Linked DNA regions of Xenopus tropicalis. The main gene of each other region encodes a partner of the protein of the gene in region 2 in a complex. Links are inferred from orthologs where the notes say so. Each region holds a gene or a part of one and is shown on either strand. Other genes may lie near its edges.

Region 1 (3,825 bases), on a different chromosome or scaffold from region 2:
CACTATTCCTAGCTTAATACTTCCTCAGGTAGGTACAAATATATTTCTTCACTGTACCTGTTGTAAGAATAGATATATCGACAATGCCTGTTCTAGGATCAGTGGCAGACTGTTTCAAAGCCTCGCGATGAAGACGTTTGGCCTCTTCTACATCAATTGTTTCCACCTTGCTAGAAAAGCGTACTTTTGCATGAGCTTCGGATAGACGAATCAGAGACTCAAGTTGCCTAGGATAGGCAGAAACCATTCCACGACCACTGCCAATTTTCCTCATGTCTACATAAGCCTACAAAAAAAATGGAAGAGGAACAACTATAAAATGCTAGAAAAATAAAATTATGGACAAACAGAACAGTAACACTTTGTAAGTTTTTATATCAACTGATCAACACATCCTCCTTTGATCAATGTTTTTTTTTTTTGCTTGACTAAAGGGTAAACAAATTATTGCATGCATGTATAAGTATGTTTTTCCTAAAAAATATATTTTTTTTTTAAAAAAACAAACAATATTTCAATCCTATATTAAACACTATGCAGCATAAAACAGTGGCCTTAAAAAAGCCGTACATATAGGGGCCCCATTTACTAACTTTTTTTCATTTTAGGCATTTATTATGTGATAAAACCACGAAAAACACAAATACAAATCTTCATCTAATATGTGTTTAGGTCATGTAGAAGTCAATGGGAGTTGTCCTCGGCAAATGGTAAATCTTTAAATTGTGGTTTTTTAGGTTTTTTGTTTTCATTTTGCATTTTAATTTGTTCCTACTTTTTCAATTCAGATCTTTTAATAAAGGACAAGCCATTTGTGGTTTTAGTGGAAATAAGCTTATTTTTGGTTTTAAAAACCTAAAACCGCAAAAATAAAAATGTTGATAAATCTGCCCCATAGTATAGACTGCTATTTGCTTTTGCCTTATTTAACTCTAAAAAGTGTAGACTTGAGCCTTTAATAATGGACTCTTGTACTGCCATTTCAAATTTTTTTTTTGGCTGCTTTTCCAGATTGTTTAGCAGGTTTGTATAGTGCAAAGCAATCCTTATGTTGGGAGCAGGCAACCAACAGCTCAGATCTGAGAGGAAATTGCAGTGCACCTTTACCGGTGTAAAGAACAGATCTGCTATTGGCTACCCACAACCTATTATTCTTTTTGGTGTAGGTAAACTAAGATGCCCCCACCACCCATTTTAAACAAACACAAACCAGGATCTATGGGGGAGCTCCAATAAATAAAGGCGACTAAAGTCAATACACTGAACTTAATTATGTTTGTTTGGAGAATGTTTGAGCACATTCGTTTAGGTTATTTATGTACCTCTATTAGAGCTTGACTTGCTTCTTCACCAAGTCTTGGATTGACATAAGTCCGAGCATATGCTATATAATCCTTTAAAACTGCCATGTCCAAATGCTCTTCTTTCATCTGCTCCTCACTCTGGTAGTACAAAGCCACAAGGTGGTGGGCTAGGCGGCGGTCATAGGTTTCATCTTGTGGATCCAGCATCAAAAATATTAGATCAAACCTAAAAGCAGCATTAAGTTAATGACAAGTTAACACAAAAGGTTACATTGCATGATTCCTATTCTGGTCTGCAGATCTAGGGCCGATTTAGGCTCCATCAGTAAAAAGATTTTATATAGGAATCAATGCTTCCACGTGCAAACACTATTAGATTTTTCAAGTATACGGGCAGATTTCCAGCCAGCACTTATACAGTCTAACAATCCACCTTGTAGGGTCTTACCCTTAGCAGCAATACATGTTTCAGCTGGGTTAAAGGAACAGTAACACCAACAAATGAAAGTGTATAAAAGTAACTAAAATATAATGTGCTGCTGCCCTGCACTGGTAAAAGTTGTGTGTTTACTTCAGAAAGTCTACTATAATTTATATAAATAAGCTGCTATGTAGCCATGGAGGCAGCCATTCAAAGGAGAAAAGGCACAGGAATATAGCAGATAACAGATAAAGCACTATTGTATTCTACAGAACTTATCTGTTATCTGCTATGTAACCTGTGGCTTTTCTCCTTTTTTCCCAGCTTGAATGGCTGCCCCCAGGGCTACACAGCAGCTTATTATATAAATTATAGTAGTGTTACTGTAGCAAACACCAATTTTACCAGTGGATTATATTTTTATTACTTTAAAGCTTTCATTTTTTTGTGTTACTGTTCCTTTAAGGGGAAAGAAAAAAAAAAAAAAGAAACAAAGAACACACCTTGATAAGAGCGTATGTGGAAGCTGGATGTTTTCAATAGTGGTTTTCTTGGGATTCCATTGTGACTCCACTGGGTTTGCAGCAGCCAAAACAGATGTACGGGCATTCAGCTGACATATTATTCCGGCCTGCAAGAGAGACCATTTACTTTTAATGTATAAAATGTAAAAATAGTGCCAATTTAAAAAAAAAAAAAAAAAAAAAAAAAAGGCAATATAATAATTTGTGTTTAAAAGCACTTTTACAGGATGGTAAGTGTAGATTTCTATAGAGAACAGTATATTAAACATTTATGCATGGCAACATTGTACACAACACCACAAAACAGCATATGACTGAGCACGATAAGCCAAAGCTTTTTCTTTTTACTAATAACTGTTCACAGTAGTGATTGACAGAGCAGCCCTTAGGTGTCCATGAATAACAGCACTTGGCTCTAAACTAAAAAAGTGAGGTGAGAGAGTTGGGTGTAAAAAAAAAAAAAAAAAAATAGCATGTCTTTAAATACAGAATTATAATGCTACAATGTCAAAAGATATTTGCATGTTTGATTTATATACTTGTTAGACTTTACCTTTGCAATGGAGAGAGTCTGCTGTTCCATTACTTCATGTAGCACAGATCTAGTGCTCTCATTCATTTTGTCAAATTCATCAATGCAGCAAATGCCATTGTCACTGAGAACTAATGCACCTGTCTGCAGTACCAACTGCCGCGTTTCTGGATCCTTCATCACGTATGCGGTTAATCCAACCGCACTAGATCCCTTTCCAGAGGTGTACTGGCCTCTAGGTACCAAATTGTATACATATTGGAGAAGCTGAGATTTACTGGTTCCTGGATCACCACACAGAAGTATGTTTACTTCAGCACGGAATTTGCCTCTTCCGGTATGACTGAAGTCTTTCCGTGTTCCACCAAACAACTGAAGCAAAATTCCCTAAAAAATATAAAAATTTTGTTAAAAAAAAAAAAAAAAAACCTCCTCAAGTATCATTTGAGGTCAAAGTTACTCTGCTGCCTATAAGACATTAATACAGTCTCACACAGCCATAGAACTGAAATACTGCCGGTATAATTTAACTTTTCTTATTCATAGCAATTAATTACACAAGGATTCTCACACACTGTCTTGGGTTCATATATTACAAAACCTCCTTTTTCAAGTGGTGGAACAGCCGCCTCTACCCACTGCATGCAAGTTAAGCAACTTATATAAAAAAACGCTCATGTCATGTGCCTATGTCTTTAGAAGGTGATATTACAAGTTAATATAAAATGCTCAAGAGTATTATGGTTTTATTGACCGCCACCTGATTGTGTGCACCAAAATTATCTCCTAATTTCCCAACCACAAAGACAGAAGTTATACCTTTTTAATATCTTCATGCTCATATATACTTGGTGCAAGAGCTGAAGCAAGCCTCTCATAGATGTCTGGTTTTGCTGCAAGTTCTTTTAACATTGCAACCCTTTCTTCAGTGAACATCTTCTGTTCTGTGTCCTCATCAATACCATGCAACCGCTTTGCATCAGTTTTTCGGTAATGAATAACATCAATGTGAGTTTTGTAAACAGACTTTACATTTCGAACTCT
Region 2 (4,462 bases):
AGGGAGGGGGCAATTTAGTTGTATACAGATTCTTAAAGGACATGTAAAGCCTACATTTGCCTACAATATATATCAGGTGGGCACGTCTTCCCCCACCCAAATGGCATAATTTGCACTGCATATATCCCCCTCTGTTTATCAGCACAATTACATTTTTTCTAAAGCAAATAGCAGCTTTCACCCAGTGGCCATTTTTCCTGATACATAATCAAATACATTTATATCTGCAAACATACACACACAGACCCGAATTCAGCATACATTTCATAAAGAATACAGGCTCACACAGGCAGAACTGTCTTCGATAAAAGTTCTGCTTTGTTTAAGCTGAGCTCAGGACAGGAGGTTAGAAGAAAAACATTGAAGCAGACAGCTAGACCTGAGCTTCTATGGGACCCAGAAATGCCATCTCTTCATTGGCTGCTAGACTGGAGAGCGTGTTTGGTAATCGGAGCTTAGAACAACTGAGCATGCCCACAAGCCAGAAGTCAAAGCAAATCTCTGAGGGAGGGGGCTGAGTGGGTTACAGGAGGAGAAGGAAATCTAAGTGATTAATGGGATGCTGCAGCCTTTCTATTAACCTCTGGACAACCAGTGTGACAGGTATTAAAAAAAGATTTCTAAGAGGCTGTTTGTGCGTGGGGTTTACATGTCCTTTAAAGAAAACTCCTAAAACATCAATTAATGTCCATGCATCCAGAATACTTTAAACATTTGTGACTAGTCGTATAATACAAATGATCTTGCACTTGTTTGCCCTTTACTAGTACACCCAGGGTGTATCAAATGATGGGTTTACTTGGTGGGTAATTTGGCCAGCATACACTTAAAATGAGAAAAAAAAAACAAAACTACTTTTTAGACATTTTTAAATTTCTTAAAAATGCTAAATAGTCTACCAGTTCACTAAGAAAAATCAACAGTTTTCAGCCTATATTTAAAGTGCTAAGACTACATATTTTATGCTTTTTTGGTGCTAGATTTTTAAATGGCAGGTACCTTTAATGCATTAAGGAGAGGCATGCACCAAATCCAGGATTTTGGATTATCCTAGCACTGTTTGCAGATTTTTTAATTCCCCTAAACTAAATGGTTATTAAAATCACATGACTTTAAAGAGCTGGTTTGGCCCAAAAAATGGCTCACTACTTCAAGTGCAGGTTATCACTGTCCAGCAGCTGGGCTCTAGAAACCTGGTCTTCATCTTTGATGGGATAGTGTTTCTAGAGCACACTGCCCGATGTTATGATATCAGCCAAGGTGATAGGGCAGTTTGAGTTAAAGGAACAGTAACACCAAAAAATGAAAGTGTATAAAAGTAACTAAAATATAATGTGCTGCTGCCCTGCACTGGTAAAAGTTGTGTGTTTACTTTAGAAAGACTACTATAATTTATATAAATAAGCTGCTATGTAGCCATGGGGGCAGCCATTCAAAGGAGAAAAGGCACAGGCACATAGCAGATAACAGATAAAACACTATTGTATTCTACAGAACTTATCTGTTATCTGCTATGTAACCTGTGCCTTTTCTCCTTTTTTACAGCTTGAATGGCTGCCCCCATGACTACACAGCAGCTTATTATATAAATTATAGTAGTGTTACTGTAGCAAACACACCAGTTTTACCATTGCAGGGCAACAGTGCATTATATTTTTATTACTTTAAAGCTCTTTCATTTTTTAGTGTTACTGTTCCTTTAATAAAGGGGGAAGAATTGGAAAATTTAAGACCAAGCACATTACCACTCTGGACAATTGAATAGAACAAATATTTGTTCACAATTGTTGCAATATTTTGTAAATGTGCTAATAAGGGTTTGGACTAAACTTCTAAGGTGCATTTGACCAAAACCAAAAAATATGACTACGTAGTTATGGTAAAAATAAAAGTTAAATCATAGTATCCACCATTACACAGATGCACTATTTATATGTAGCAAATGCAAAACTTTCACAAGAATTTTACACTATAAAATGTTTTCATTTGGGCAAAAGGCTGGAGATGGAGGAATAATAGAACCAACTTGGGGCAAGTGTTCAGATTTCAGAAATGAAATATTTATCCTTCTTTCTAGGTTTTTCTATCATTGGTAACTTATACTCACTAGTACACTTTACATTGTTTTAGTAACAGTGTTTTAGTAGCAGACCCTAAATGGTTCAAGAGCTGCAACACTGTTGGTACCATGCACATTATCTGGTGGGAAATAAAATAAGTTGTATTTACCGGTACATGGGTCCTCTCCGACTTCATCCCTGATATTTACCTGGCCAACATATTAGGCAGTGTAGAAAAAAAAAAAAACCCATTGGGAAGAGCACCACATACGTATTGATGTGGACCTCTCCCAACAGCCTGCATTAGCAGCCATTATGATCCAATCATTGGTCGAAGGCCTAACAATCAGTGTGGTGCTGTGACATATGGGACAAAGATCCACTCATTTGGCAAACTAGGTGGTATGACCAGCTTTATATGTGGGGATGAAGTGTTTATACTGTCGGATCTGTGCAAGGGGCACTGTGAGTTTAATGGAAACCAGATATGCAGAAATCTCCCATTGTCAATTTTATGCAAAATCTTTTTTTTTAATTACATTTTCTCTGTAATAAAACAGTATCTTGTACTTTACAGCAACTAAGCTGCATAAAAACTTGTTAGTGATAAAGCAATCCTATTGGCTTTATTTCATAGTTACATGTTGTTTTAAGTAGGTATGGTGATTTAAATTGTTGAAAAAAAACTTAATTTTGGTTTGTTCTTACCTGAAGTACCTTACAGGCGCAGAGAGCATCAACATCAGGTGCAACAAGGAGAAGAACGCGCTGGAAATCAGAGAAGAGACAGTGAGTGGTGTCATATCATTTATTTGGGAAAAAAAATCCTTTATCCCGGTTACCCTTCTCACCTCGGTAACGATCACGTCGTAAAACTCTTTACGGAGATCACTCACAAACATCTCGACAAGTTGACGGCTGCCCTCGAAACTGGCGCCAAAATCCCTTAGAGCAGCGGTGGCCAATCAAACAGCCCGTTTCGTCGTGACATACACCAACCCCGCCCAATCCGTGAAGGCTCAGCGCAAGATAAACCCCGCCTCTGCGTCCTACAGTTTAGCAGCCAATTGGTCGCTTCCCGATATCTGACAGCGGTCTATTAACTTCCGCTTTTAGCGTGTTGCTTCTTGGGATTCGTAGTTTCTCTTGTTCCGATCGTCTGATTCGCAATTATATTTACTTCCGGGAAGGACGGTGACTAAGATAGTGTTAGGTCCGCCGGGATAATAAGAGAAAGCCGGTAACAAAATGGTAAGATCTGTCTTCCACATTTGTGATAGCGTCATGTCATGTATACCTATATATCATCATAAAACACCATTTACCTGCCAGGTTTTATGGAGGCTGAACAGTGACTGAGGGGTTAGTTTTTTACTGCTATATGCATCTTGGATGGGAAAGAAGAGTTGTTGTATGTAAGATTTTTTTTACATGAAAAATAACAGTATGATTTTAATCTGAATGTATGTTTCCGTAATAGTTTTTGTTTTTACAGATCACTTAAATAACACTAAAAGGGTAAAAACAAAGTAAAAAAGAATTTCTCAAATTATCACGATGTATCTTTATGTTGCTTAATGAAATAACAGCTCCAAAATCTCACTAATTCCATTCTCTTTTAGTTTTCTTTCAACATGTTTGACCACCCCATACCCCGGGTTTTCCAAAACCGCTTCTCTACTCAGTACCGTTGCTACTCCGTTTCCATGTTGGCGGGTCCCAATGACCGATCTGATGTGGAGAAAGGAGGGAAAAGTAAGTAATATGTGACTAAGAGCTGTACTGTAATTTTTTCAAGATAAAATTATTTAAACATAGGTAATAATATCTAATAATCATAAACTAGACCACTTTTTTGTGGGCCACAAGCAGACTGGGATTTAATATATGCCCTTGCATTTCAAGGCCCCTGCTAGTTCACTAAATAGTGCTTGTCTATGGCATCTAACAGCAGTCCTTTTGGAATTTGCCAGAATCCACACATTGCCAGTCCAGGCCTGGTCACAGGTCATGAGATCTCTGTTATCATCATGTACCATCATGCAAACTGTACAGGATGTGGAAAGTGGACACAATGGTAATTCTTGGCCACACATATCCAGTACAGGTATGTGATCCGTTATCCGGAAACCTGTTATCCAGAAAGCTCTAAATTACGGCAAGGCCCATAGGCTGCATTTTAATTAAATAATTAAAATTTAAGAAAATAATTTCCTTTTTCTCTGTAATAAATCAGTACTTGTACTAAATCCCAACTAGGATATAATCAAACCTTATTAGAGACAAAACAATCCTATTTGGTATATTATGTTTAAATACATTTTGAGCAGACTTAAGGCATGAAGATCCAAATTACACAATGACCGCTTGTACAGGAAAAACCCCTGGTCCTGAGCATTAAG

Evidence for each region.
Region 1: cdc45 (region 2) and mcm4 share a complex: the UniProt entries of both Homo sapiens proteins name them as parts of the CMG helicase complex. The link is inferred for Xenopus tropicalis from reciprocal best matches to the Homo sapiens genes CDC45 and MCM4.

The regions. Positions count from the first base shown.
Region 1 is NC_030682.2:113,245,289-113,249,113, reverse strand, and holds part of mcm4 (DNA replication licensing factor mcm4), read right to left. Parts: coding exon 3,601-3,825; intron 3,169-3,600; coding exon 2,803-3,168; intron 2,357-2,802; coding exon 2,229-2,356; intron 1,531-2,228; coding exon 1,323-1,530; intron 287-1,322; coding exon 58-286; intron 1-57. UniProt on the Homo sapiens protein: Acts as a component of the MCM2-7 complex (MCM complex) which is the replicative helicase essential for 'once per cell cycle' DNA replication initiation and elongation in eukaryotic cells.
Region 2 is NC_030677.2:154,230,384-154,234,845, reverse strand, and holds the start of cdc45 (cell division control protein 45 homolog), read right to left. Parts: upstream 3,077-4,462; 5' UTR 2,963-3,076; coding exon 2,912-2,962; intron 2,829-2,911; coding exon 2,769-2,828; intron 1-2,768. Other genes in the region: ufd1 (ubiquitin fusion degradation protein 1 homolog), read left to right, coding at 3,309-3,311, 3,683-3,815. UniProt on the Homo sapiens protein: Required for initiation of chromosomal DNA replication. Core component of CDC45-MCM-GINS (CMG) helicase, the molecular machine that unwinds template DNA during replication, and around which the replisome is built.